2 linked regions of the Drosophila melanogaster genome follow. The protein of the gene in region 1 interacts with the protein of each later gene in a pairwise test. Each region holds a gene or a part of one and is shown on either strand. Other genes may lie near its edges.

Region 1 (7,868 bases):
GATGTGCGCGATCCAGGGCAGGCTGCGTTCCTTAAAAAGACAGAGGGCGGCATAGGATAGCTTGGTGTTCTCCGACTCCATTGCCTTGATGATGTAACGGCAGATGCGCTCCAGACGCTCCCGTGCACGCACATCGCTCTTGTCCAGCCTGATCTGGGTGAGGTAGCGACGAAGCACCGGATAGACGTTGCTTGCCACGAGTTCCAGTTCCGCATCCTTATCGTCATGATTCTCAGTGAACATGGCATCGAAATCGAGTCTGCAAAACGGGTTACTATTTAGGATGTTCCATAAAAGTAGATAGACACTTACATGATTCGTTTCTGGTACTTCCTACGCGCCGCATATCCCTTGAGCGTGGACTGCAGCAGGATGGCCGCCTGTTCGCGTCGCTTTTCCAGTGCCCGCTCCTCCCGCGCCGCCTTTGTCTGCTCCAGGAAGCTGGCCTTTTGGTTTTGGGCAAACATTTTGCTCTGCAGCAGGTTGAAAGAATTTTGTTGATGATGTATTGTTGTTGACCAGAGCGTTTGTTTTTGTCGGGATTGTGGCCGTTCCGGGATGTATTTATCGTTTCAATCACTTCCTCGAGCTGAACGCTATCCCAGAGCCTTGATTCAGAGCCTCGCTGGATATTTTCTGCATTGCATATCGAGCAAAATGCAAAAAGAAAATATCCTTATTTTGTTCCAATTGGTGGTACAGTGTCACCGTCTCCGCTTACTGTCAAATAACCACAGAAATAGGCCAAAGCGCGGAGATCATTTTTGTTGGCAATTTTCTAGCTAAAACCGTGGTTTGAGTCCGCGCTGCATGAGCACGGCATCGAACCTAGGGCAGCTTTGCTGCTCAACTGAGCGTCCATCACCAAGGGAAAGTAACCGATAACCGCTTGCAAGAAAGATCGACTGTATCGAGTACACATCGATTTTTGTTCCAGCACTAGCAACGCTGCGTTCGCGTGAATAAATAATTAATTAATTGCTGAAAAAATGGATTAGCTGGCGAAACATGCATCCGACCAAGTGCAACAGCAACCGTGCGCAGTACTCAGTAATCGGGCGTTTGTGAGCGTAAGCGCCATGAATTGTGTGTCTAAAAAAAAGTAATGGTTTAGCAAAAACAACAACGCTAAAGCCCAAAAGTGCTAATAAAAAGTACACACATACGCACTCACACAAACGCGCGCGCGAGCAAAGGTGAAAATTATAAATTAATAAATACGCGATCCGATAGCATATCAAATTAGCGAAATATGCTCGTTTCTCGTGCTGATCGAATCAAAACTGTGAATTGCAACAGAAAATAATTTCAAGGTTTGCAGCAGGCGAATAGAAGGCGAAAAGGTAATTGAAAAATAGAACGAATTTTGGCACAAGCGCACTGTAGCTATATATTTTTGTTGTCTGGCCGACCGTGGCTAGGTGGGTGGGGCGTGATTTTGGGGGCCAATCTTGTGTGTTCTGTGTACTGTGCGCTGCTGCTCTGTGTGGTGAAAACAACAAAACCCGCTTACCCCGCAGGAGCCCCACCCCTCTCCCTTAAATGTAATGCATGTAATTTACCGCAATTTTGCCCGTGCATTGCTCAGTGTGTCACTCTCACTCGCACACATACCACTGCCGACGAGCGCAGCAAGGTCTCCGTCTGTGTGTGCGTGTAAGTGAGTGCTCTCCCCATTTTCTTGACAGCAGTAGCAGCATCAGCATCAGCATCAATCCTGTCAGAAAAAAAAGGCGCGCGCTCCTTTTCGCCCGTTTCGCTCTGCCTGCCGCTGCGCTGCTTCTGCAGCTCCACCATTTTCTTTCTAAATCGCTGACGCCAGCGCCAAATCATTCGCCATCAGCCGCTCCTCCTCCGCGGTGCTCCCCACTGCAGCTTCTCGTCTTCAGCTGAGCTTCGCTGTGCTAAACCAATTCTTCTGTTCTGTGTGGTTGGATCTGCAGTTTTGCAGATATAATCAAATTTATTCGCAACGTACATATGTAAATAAAAGCGTTCGGAATATGCCAAGCGCCTGTGATCGCGACTGCTGAAAGGGCAGCCAAAATACGATAATATATAAGAGCGTGTGAGTTTGCAGTATCCTTTACGTTTGCGTGTGTGTGCGTGCTTGCAATCTTTGAACTTTGAACTTTTGTTGAACTTCGGTAATTTTTTTATTTGCAAGCCGGTTAGAAAACAACAGCAATTGCAGTGACGCATAACCTCAAAGATCGACATGCACAAGTACCGTTAGATCGAGTCGCCCCAAACGACTCTTTTGCGCTCCCAGTCTCGCAGGGAAATGTGAAATTTCATATAAAACGTTACGTTAAATAGCAAAGAAGTTAACATCGGTAAATTCCATAGCAGTGAATGTGCTTTAAATGCAGTAATTGGGGCCCGTTATGTTTTACTGCTTGCTCACACACACTAACTTAAGTTGGGGTACCAATACACAGTCAGTTACACTGTCTCTGGCTTAGATTACAGTCAACACTCGATGTCGTAAACCAGGATAAAAAAATAAAATGCAGCAATTTCTCTTAAAACTACATTTTACATTAAAAAATAGATACTTTAATTTTCAAATTTTTTGACTCCCATGCGTTGATTTGTTCAATGTTTTGTGTGCTTACTGTGAAAACACGGCAACAAAAATCGAAGAAAGTCGTCAGAGTAAAAGCAATAATAACAACAACAGCAACGGCGGCAGAAGAAACAAGATTCGAAATGGGCACAAACGAAACTAAATGAAAAGCGCGAAACTGTGCAAAAAAAATACAACCTAACCAAACTTCTCGCCCCCGCTCTACTTTCCCGCCCGGAAATCAAAATCCGAACGCCGCCAAGTCGAAATCAGCGATTTCGTATTTGAAATGTTTGTTATTTTATTGATTTATCGTCCCTCGTCATTTGCGCCATCAAAGCGAATCGAAGGTGTTATATATTTGTTGCTTGTTTATTTGCTTTCCTGATAAGCCAGCCGACCAAGCAAATGCTAATTTCCATTCGTCAATTACAGATAATTGTTGTTGCTATTGCGCTTGTAAATTTAACAAATTAGCGAAAACTGATTTGATTAAATTCGAACGTTATTTGCGGCTTAAAGTTTATTTTATTATCGCTGCACGGCACTCTAATCCCGAGTGGAGCAATGGCGACAAATCCATGGAATAAGGGAGAAGCTATTGATTGGATCACGTGGTTCGGAATTGTGGTATTTTTCTATGGAAGTGATTAGATTGGGCTAAACTAGGCTTTAAGCGAATGATACAGCTCATTGAGCATAAAAAAAATTGTATTACCACAGTCACAAAGTTTAGCTTTACATAATAGTTCAATTATTAATCCTACCCCGTTATCTTTACTTGCAGCAACGCAACCAAATAACCACAAAGAAGCCGTAACAAATACAATACCATAAACTATAGTAAGAACTATCCCCAAAAAACAAGAAGCAACTAACAACGAGATGAAGTACGCAACTGGAACTGACAACGCGATGACCTCCGGCATCAGCGGCCAAACCAATAACTCTAACAGTGCATCCAACGAGATGCAGCCAACCACATCAACGCCTACTGCAGCCCACAAGGAGGCCACATCAACGGCCACGACGACGGCGACATACGCCAATGGCAATCCCAATTCTAACGCCAATCCCAGCCAGAGCCAGCCGTCCAATGCGCTGTTTTGCGAGCAGGTGACCACAGTGACAAATCTCTTCGAGAAGTGGAACGACTGCGAGCGAACCGTCGTGATGTACGCGCTGCTCAAGCGGCTGCGCTACCCGAGCCTCAAGTTTCTACAGTATTCTATCGACAGCAACCTGACCCAGAACCTGGGCACCTCCCAGACCAATCTGAGCAGCGTGGTTATTGACATCAATGCCAACAATCCGGTGTACCTGCAGAATCTACTCAACGCCTACAAGACGTTCCAGCCATGTGACCTGCTCGACGCCATGTCCTCCTCGTCGTCCGACAAGGACTCGATGCCATGCTACGGCAGTGACTTCCAGATCACCACATCGGCGCAGTGTGACGAGCGGAAGCTGTATGCCCGCAAGGAGGACATTCTGCATGAAGTACTGAACATGCTGCCTCTGCTGAAGCCGGGCAATGAGGAGGCCAAGCTTATCTACCTGACCCTTATACCAGTTGCCGTCAAGGACACCATGCAGCAAATTGTGCCCACGGAGTTGGTGCAGCAGATCTTCTCGTACCTACTCATCCATCCAGCTATCACCAGCGAGGACAGACGTTCGCTCAACATTTGGCTGCGTCACTTGGAGGATCATATCCAAGCGGCTGCGGCGGGCCTGACAAATCGCAGTTACTTCCTGCAGCCCTCGCCGCAACTGGTCGCTGGTGGTAGCTCAACAGGCAGTGGTAGCTGTTCCTCTTCGGCGACCAGCTCTTCGACAGCATCCTGTTCGTCGGTGGCCTCATCCTCGTTGTGCCCCGCAAGCGGCAGCCGTTCCTCACGCACCAACGACTGGCAAACGATCGCCCCGCCCAGCAAGCAATTGCAAAACAAATTGGCCGGTGATTGGCGTGGCAATGGAGGCGGCAGCTCCAGCGGGTCGATCAATCCACTCTGTGATAATCTTAATGGTATTACCCTGAACGAATTAGCTTCTAGTCAGAACAGTCTCGGCCTGTCGCTGGAGGGCAGCTCTTCCCTGGTCAACGGTGTGGTCGCTGGTGCAGGCTCTATGTTGGGAATCGCTGGTGGCGACGATCATGACACGTCATTTAGCAAGAATGGCACGGAGATTCTCGATTTTGACCCGGTGACGGCGGACATGGGTGAGGCCTGTAGTCTGGCCAGCAGTAGCCTTTGTGGACGTAACGGTGGAAATCCTGTTGAGGATCGATCGCAACCTCCGCCGAATCTTCAGCAGCAATTGCTTCAGCCTCCTCCCTATGCCTCGATCCTTATGGGAAACGTGGGCGATCAGTTTGGAGAGATCAACCGGTGGAGCCTGGACAGCAAGATTGCAGCCCTGAAGACGCGGCGCTCTAACAGCCTCACCACGCAAACGATCTCTAGCTGTTCCAGCTCGTCTAACTCATCGGTGATCACGGTCAATGACAACTGCTCCAATTCAACGGAGAATCTGGCACAGTTTGCCAACAAGCCCCGTAGTTTTTCCTTATCGATTGAGCATCAGCGCGGCGCCTTGATGAACAGCGGTTCCGATACTCGTCTGGATGAATTCAAGCCCAATTATATTAAGTTCCACACGCGCAACGTGGGCATGTCGGGAATCGGACTCTGGCTAAAATCCTTGCGTCTGCACAAGTACATCGAGCTGTTCAAGAACATGACGTACGAGGAAATGCTCTTGATCACCGAGGACTTTCTGCAGAGTGTTGGCGTCACCAAGGGCGCCTCCCACAAGCTTGCCCTTTGCATTGATAAGCTGAAGGAACGGGCCAATATTCTTAACCGGGTAGAACAAGAACTGCTATCGGGTCAAATGGAGCTGAGCACGGCGGTTGAGGAGCTAACAAATATTGTGCTGACACCAATGAAGCCACTGGAGTCTCCAGGACCACCGGAGGAAAACATTGGTCTGCGTTTTCTTAAGGTCATTGACATTGTGACCAATACGTTGCAGCAGGATCCGTATGCTGTCCAAGACGACGAGACTTTGGGTGTGCTTATGTGGATTCTAGACCGCTCTATCCACAACGAGGCATTTATGAATCACGCCAGTCAACTCAAGGACCTGAAGTTTAAGTTGTCCAAAATGAAGATCTCCATGGTTCCCAAAATGCATCACGTCAAGCCAGCCGGCGTCGGGCCAAACAATGGGAACATTAACAAGCCAAGGTAAGGTTTTCAATAAGATAAAAAGTAATGCATTTTAAAAATGAGCTGTTATTTTAGATGGAATGGTAAGACTCGCAAATGCGATACTAAAAATGGCAGCAACGATAGGATTAACAACCGCAAAAACTCCAACGACATGCTAAACTTTTCGCTAAATTGCCTGCCACACCCGCTGCCCCATCATTCGCAGCAGGCTCCGCCGCCTCTGCCACAGTTTGACTACAACGGCTATGGCGGCGGTCCATCCCATCAGCCGCAGTACAAGAGCTCCTCGTACCCAAGCTTCATGGGTAATCCTCAGCAGCAGCCACCACCGCCGCCGTCTAGTAAGTCGCATCATCATCCCCAGCAGATGCAACAGATGTTGCAGCAACACAACCACTTTCCAGCGCTGCCTCAGCAGACGCCACCACAATCGCATCGCCGGTCGCTGAATAATCTTATTCTGGTGGCCGGAGGTCCGCAGCAACCGCAGCAATTGATCTTTAAGCCCGGTCAGGGAGTGCTCACCAACAACGGATCTAACGACAACCTGGTATTGGAACGCAATCAGCAGTCGCAGCAGCAGCAGCAGCAGAGAAAACTTAGCGGAGGAGTGTCCAGTGCGGAGCAACAACCAAAGAAGACCATGGCCGCTGTTGTGATGGTTAGTAATCCAAACCAGAATCAGGACCAGCACGATCAGCCCCAGATCCTGATCAACAACAATAATAACAACAGCATGCTGAACAACAATTTGATTAACCAGCAACAGTTGCAACTTTTGGCAGCAGCTGCTGCCGCCGTGGGCAGTGGCAGCTGTCTGTGCTCCAATGGTGGTGGTGGTGCCTGTGTCCACAATATCTGTCACCAAAGCAGCAAGAACAACAATCATGGCGTAGACCATTGCCTGTCCCAGTCACCGTTGGGCAGCCTGGGCATGTCGCCCCACGTCACCGAGTACAAGATGAACGACTTTAAGAGCCTAGAACAGCTGGAGACGTTGTGTCGCCAAATGACTGAACAGGCAATGAACTGAGCAAGATTCAGGGCTATCTGGGTTTTGAAATCATCATGTAATGGCGTTAGATTTGAGGCTGCCAGCTGTTTTTGTGTTCATTTAGCTTTGAGCCGTGTTTGATGTTTGATTTCATAACGAACATAAATGTTTTTATATTTAGATATTTAAGATTCGTGTCTATTTTTGTGTCGCGTCAAGTTGTCCACCCTGCGTCTCCTTTCACATCCCGTTCTGTAATCGTTTTTAGTTAGTAAGACGATAGTTTGTTTTAATGTTAAGTTTATTAACTGTATGCCAAGGCGCCCCCAAAGATATGATCAATTGACTCGGGCTCGCAGGACCAACGGCTGGCCGATGAACTTGTGGAGCCCATGCTGCACTCCCCGACGGTAATCCCATGTCGGTTGTCAGCGGGGGCGTGGCATCTTACTGTCAATGTTATTAATGTATAGGTTTCGTAAATGTTGTCGCCATTTATGTAGTTAAACTAACAAGCCAAGCCCCACAACACACACACACACAGATCGCAACAACAGAATACAGTAACTTCTCTCTACCTAGGAAAATTTGGCCAAATTTGATCAACATTTTACGCTATTCTAAACCCCAATCACAACATCAACTATTTCATTCACTATCAACAACGTCGCCAAATGAAAGAAATACCCCGATCTGAACGACGACGAAAAATGGTTTATCTAGTAAAAAATTATAAAATGAACTCTGCATCGTGACCATGAGACTGACTAAGATTACTTTTCGCAACTATAAAAACTAGAAGGAAGAAAGCTGGATGGAGAGGGAATTGAAAAGTGAGAATTGAGAAACGAGAGCTGATAATTGTTTGCGCGAATCAAAACTAGGCTTGCTGAATGAAGTAGTAGTCACATAATGAATATGTTTATATATACACGTACACATAATTTATTTTAAATTAAAAGGAACATATTTGCTGAACCGTAACTGCACCAGAGGAAATCGCAACGGCGGAAACTACCACTAGACTAAACTTTAACAGAAAAGAGTTTCAATGTTTCACTGTTTG
Region 2 (3,073 bases), on another chromosome or scaffold:
GTGTGGCATGAATATTTCATGAGCGCAGGAGTGATGACAATAAGCCGGCTCCGGGAATAAAAAAGAAGCGCAGAGTGAAATCAGGACGATGACGGAGCTAAGACGAACTAATGGCCTGCACAAGCAGCACTCCCTGAGAGATCGACAGGTGCATCCGATGCTGCACGCCCTGGCGGATCACGGCTGCAACCTCAGCAGCGGTGGCAACAGTGCGGCCAGCACCACCAGCAGTAGTACGGCCACGGCCACCACAGCACTTGGTGGTGCCGGCGGTTTGGGCGGTCTGGGTGGCCTGAACGGTGGTGTCGGCATAACAAGTCAGCGGAGCGTTGAGTTCGATGAGCACGACATCTTCTACGTCTCACCATCCAAGCGAAAAGGAGCCACTTCAGGTGAGTAGCACCCTTCTGAGGGGTAAATAAACGCCAGGCCCATCAGTCAATCATATAAAAGTTTTCCCAGCTTGCTCATTAAGCAAATAAGTGTCAGAACTTAACAACTCTAATTAAGATATTACTACCAGCGCATTCAGTACTTATACTTGCATGTACAATACGCTATAAATAATAATAAATTATTTTTATGCGGCACTTCAGACAAAATTTAAATAGCTTAATAACATATTATACAAGATTCTGTTAGAAAAGAAATTTAATTGTATATTTCTTCTGTAACTCGTAGAGTAAACAATTAGCGCCTCTGCTGCTAAGAGTAGTTGAGCGCACATTACTAGAATGTGGTAGACGGACAGGACTAGAACTTTAAATGGAAGCTAAACAACTTTTTTTTCTATCTTCCAGTAGGTTCCTCTGGCAATGTGGTAACCTTCTCGAATTTTGTAAGTGAACAACGCCTGACGCCCTCGTCGTCGAACCGCGGATCCCTGAAGCGGAGCAAGGGCCGCTCCAATCAGTCCCTGTGCAGCTGCGATGCCGGCGACGAGGCCCAACTGGATTTGCAACCGAATGCGGCAAGGCCGCTGTACGAGTACAGTCTGGAACGAAAGCGTAAGACACACACCTACTCCTGCGAGCAGAATGCGCAGATACTTATGAGACTGGAGCGCGAGCGTAATCGTAAATTATCGCTGACTGGGATGGAAACGGGATTGGGAATCGGACTGGGAGTGGGATTGGGAATGGGATCTGGAGGAGGAACAGGAGGAGCCGGAGACCCCCAGGTGAGTGAAACCCCGCTACACTTTGTGTAATTGTAATTGTAGTCATGAGCAGCCAACGGCACGTGCCTCCACCAGAAATACAGACAGAGTTTTGCAACAGGCAAATGCGCTAACCAAACAGAGCGTGGCACGTAGGAGGTGGATGTTGTAGTCTGACGACCGAGTGACTGACACCTGCCACACCCACTGACTCTTGGGGCTCGGGCTCAGGCCACCAAGCTGTCTTCGAATCGCGAGGGGAATGGAGGAGACTTCAAGTTCGCCAAGTATTAGGGCACACATGAATTTTGATTGTTATGGCAAATGCTGTGAGCCAGCACTTCGGGTCGATAAATTTCAGAGATAATCCAATACAATACCTTGATATGTTTTTTTAGAATTAAATATACTCCCATTTGACCATTTAAGTGCTTTTTCGGCAGCTTTGTGACTTTAGAATGTAAATTCCTTCAAAGTCAAGCCCAAAACTATCGTAACCGAGTAGGTCAAGTCCCCAACTGTCGGCCAGTTCGAACAGCCCGCCCGATTTCTACACAGTATACGTTCACATTCCAAGAGAGCAGATCTCAAACAATCGATATTCCTACCGACTCCCACATCAAAAAGCCGATAAGATCATCATGTCCGGCAAACGACTTGGTAGTATGGTGTCCTCCGCCAGTGTAATGCATTCGAGTGCATCGATCTCAAGCAGGGCTAAAAAATCGAAAAAGCCCAAACTGCCGACCTTTGACCTGTCGCTAAGCCAGAAGGTGGACATTAAGAAAGCCTTCGATTTGTTCGACACCCAGTGCACGGGCTTTATCGAAACCAAGGAGCTTCGCGTGGCCATTCGTGCCCTGGGATTCGAGCCGAAGAAAGAGGATATAAAGCGTATGATGGACGAAATCGATAAGGACAAGACGGGAAGGATTGCCTTTAACGATTTTCTATATCTGATGCGCCTGAAGATGGCGGAAAAGGACTCTAATCAGGATATGATGAAGGCCTTTTCCTTCTTCGATGACGATCGCACCGGCGGCATATCCTTCCTCAACTTGAAACGCGTGGCCAAGGAGCTGGGCGAACAGCTCACCGACGAGGAACTGCAGGAGATGATCGACGAAGCCAACGTTTCCGGTGATGGTGAGGTTAGCAAGGAGGAGTTTCTCAACCTTATCAAGAAAACCAATCTCATCTAGTTGCATTACGTTTAAATTTATTCCGCAATTCATTTGTGTAAACGGGAAACGACGTTGTATATAACCCATATAGATTTACTCATTTTTCAGACAGACACATCAATCTGACTCGAAACCCATTACAGTGAAGAAGTTTGGATATGCTTCGGTTCAATAAAGCTTCGCATTGAATTATTTTTGATATTTTTGATATTCAATCTTCTTGAACCCATATTTTTGGGAATCTAAATGGGTTCTATGTTTTTAGTTAAATATTGCATAACAATAAAAACCAGAGTATAGTAATGAGCACAAATTACGGATAGTTAATTTTCGGTTTATCATTACGAATTCTTTTAAAGTTATGTATTTCGTACTCTATGAAATTTTTGAAATAAAACAATTTCAGATCGCTGGGAATCTCATAGTCCTTGTTTTTGATACTTGGGCGAGTTTGCTGTCACAGGCCTCTGTCATGCATAACAAATCTCTTTGACACATTTGATGTATGCTTTTCCATGGGCCTGCTCCACTTTCGGTTTTCAGTTTTCAGTTGAGTTCGTTGCAGCAAATTGTGGCTGCAATTTGGTGGCATGCGTGGGCGCTTTTCCAACTGCCGGAAGAGCTTTTCCATTTCCCATCTTTGCCTGTCCCCGTTTCTGTGCCTTATTCACTCTTAACTCTGTGTCTTCGGTTCGTTGTTCAAACGGCAAACATAATTTAGTAGCATCGT

What was found. The genes of interacting proteins can lie anywhere in the genome.
Region 2: the proteins of smg (region 1) and CG31802 interact in a two-hybrid assay, tested with the Drosophila melanogaster proteins (one large-scale study listed by BioGRID).

Annotation. Positions count from the first base shown.
Region 1 is NT_037436.4:8,991,054-8,998,921, reverse strand, and holds the start of smg (smaug), read left to right. Parts: upstream 1-1,827; 5' UTR 1,828-2,068; intron 2,069-2,350; exon of another isoform or gene 2,351-2,440; intron 2,441-2,672; exon of another isoform or gene 2,673-2,860; intron 2,861-3,004; exon of another isoform or gene 3,005-3,199; intron 3,200-3,356; 5' UTR 3,357-3,454; coding exon 3,455-5,823; intron 5,824-5,880; coding exon 5,881-6,841; 3' UTR 6,842-6,878; intron 6,879-7,384; coding exon of another isoform or gene 7,385-7,426; 3' UTR 7,427-7,868. Other genes in the region: CG5087 (uncharacterized protein), read right to left, coding at 1-259, 313-467. UniProt on the Drosophila melanogaster protein: Translation regulator that binds to the 3'-UTR of specific mRNAs such as nanos (nos) and prevents their translation. Prevents translation of unlocalized nanos in the bulk cytoplasm via the recruitment of cup.
Region 2 is NT_033779.5:18,207,876-18,210,948, reverse strand, and holds CG31802 (uncharacterized protein), read left to right. Parts: upstream 1-1,711; 5' UTR 1,712-1,800; coding exon 1,801-2,361; 3' UTR 2,362-2,534; downstream 2,535-3,073. Other genes in the region: CG42750 (uncharacterized protein), read left to right, coding at 89-392, 801-1,180.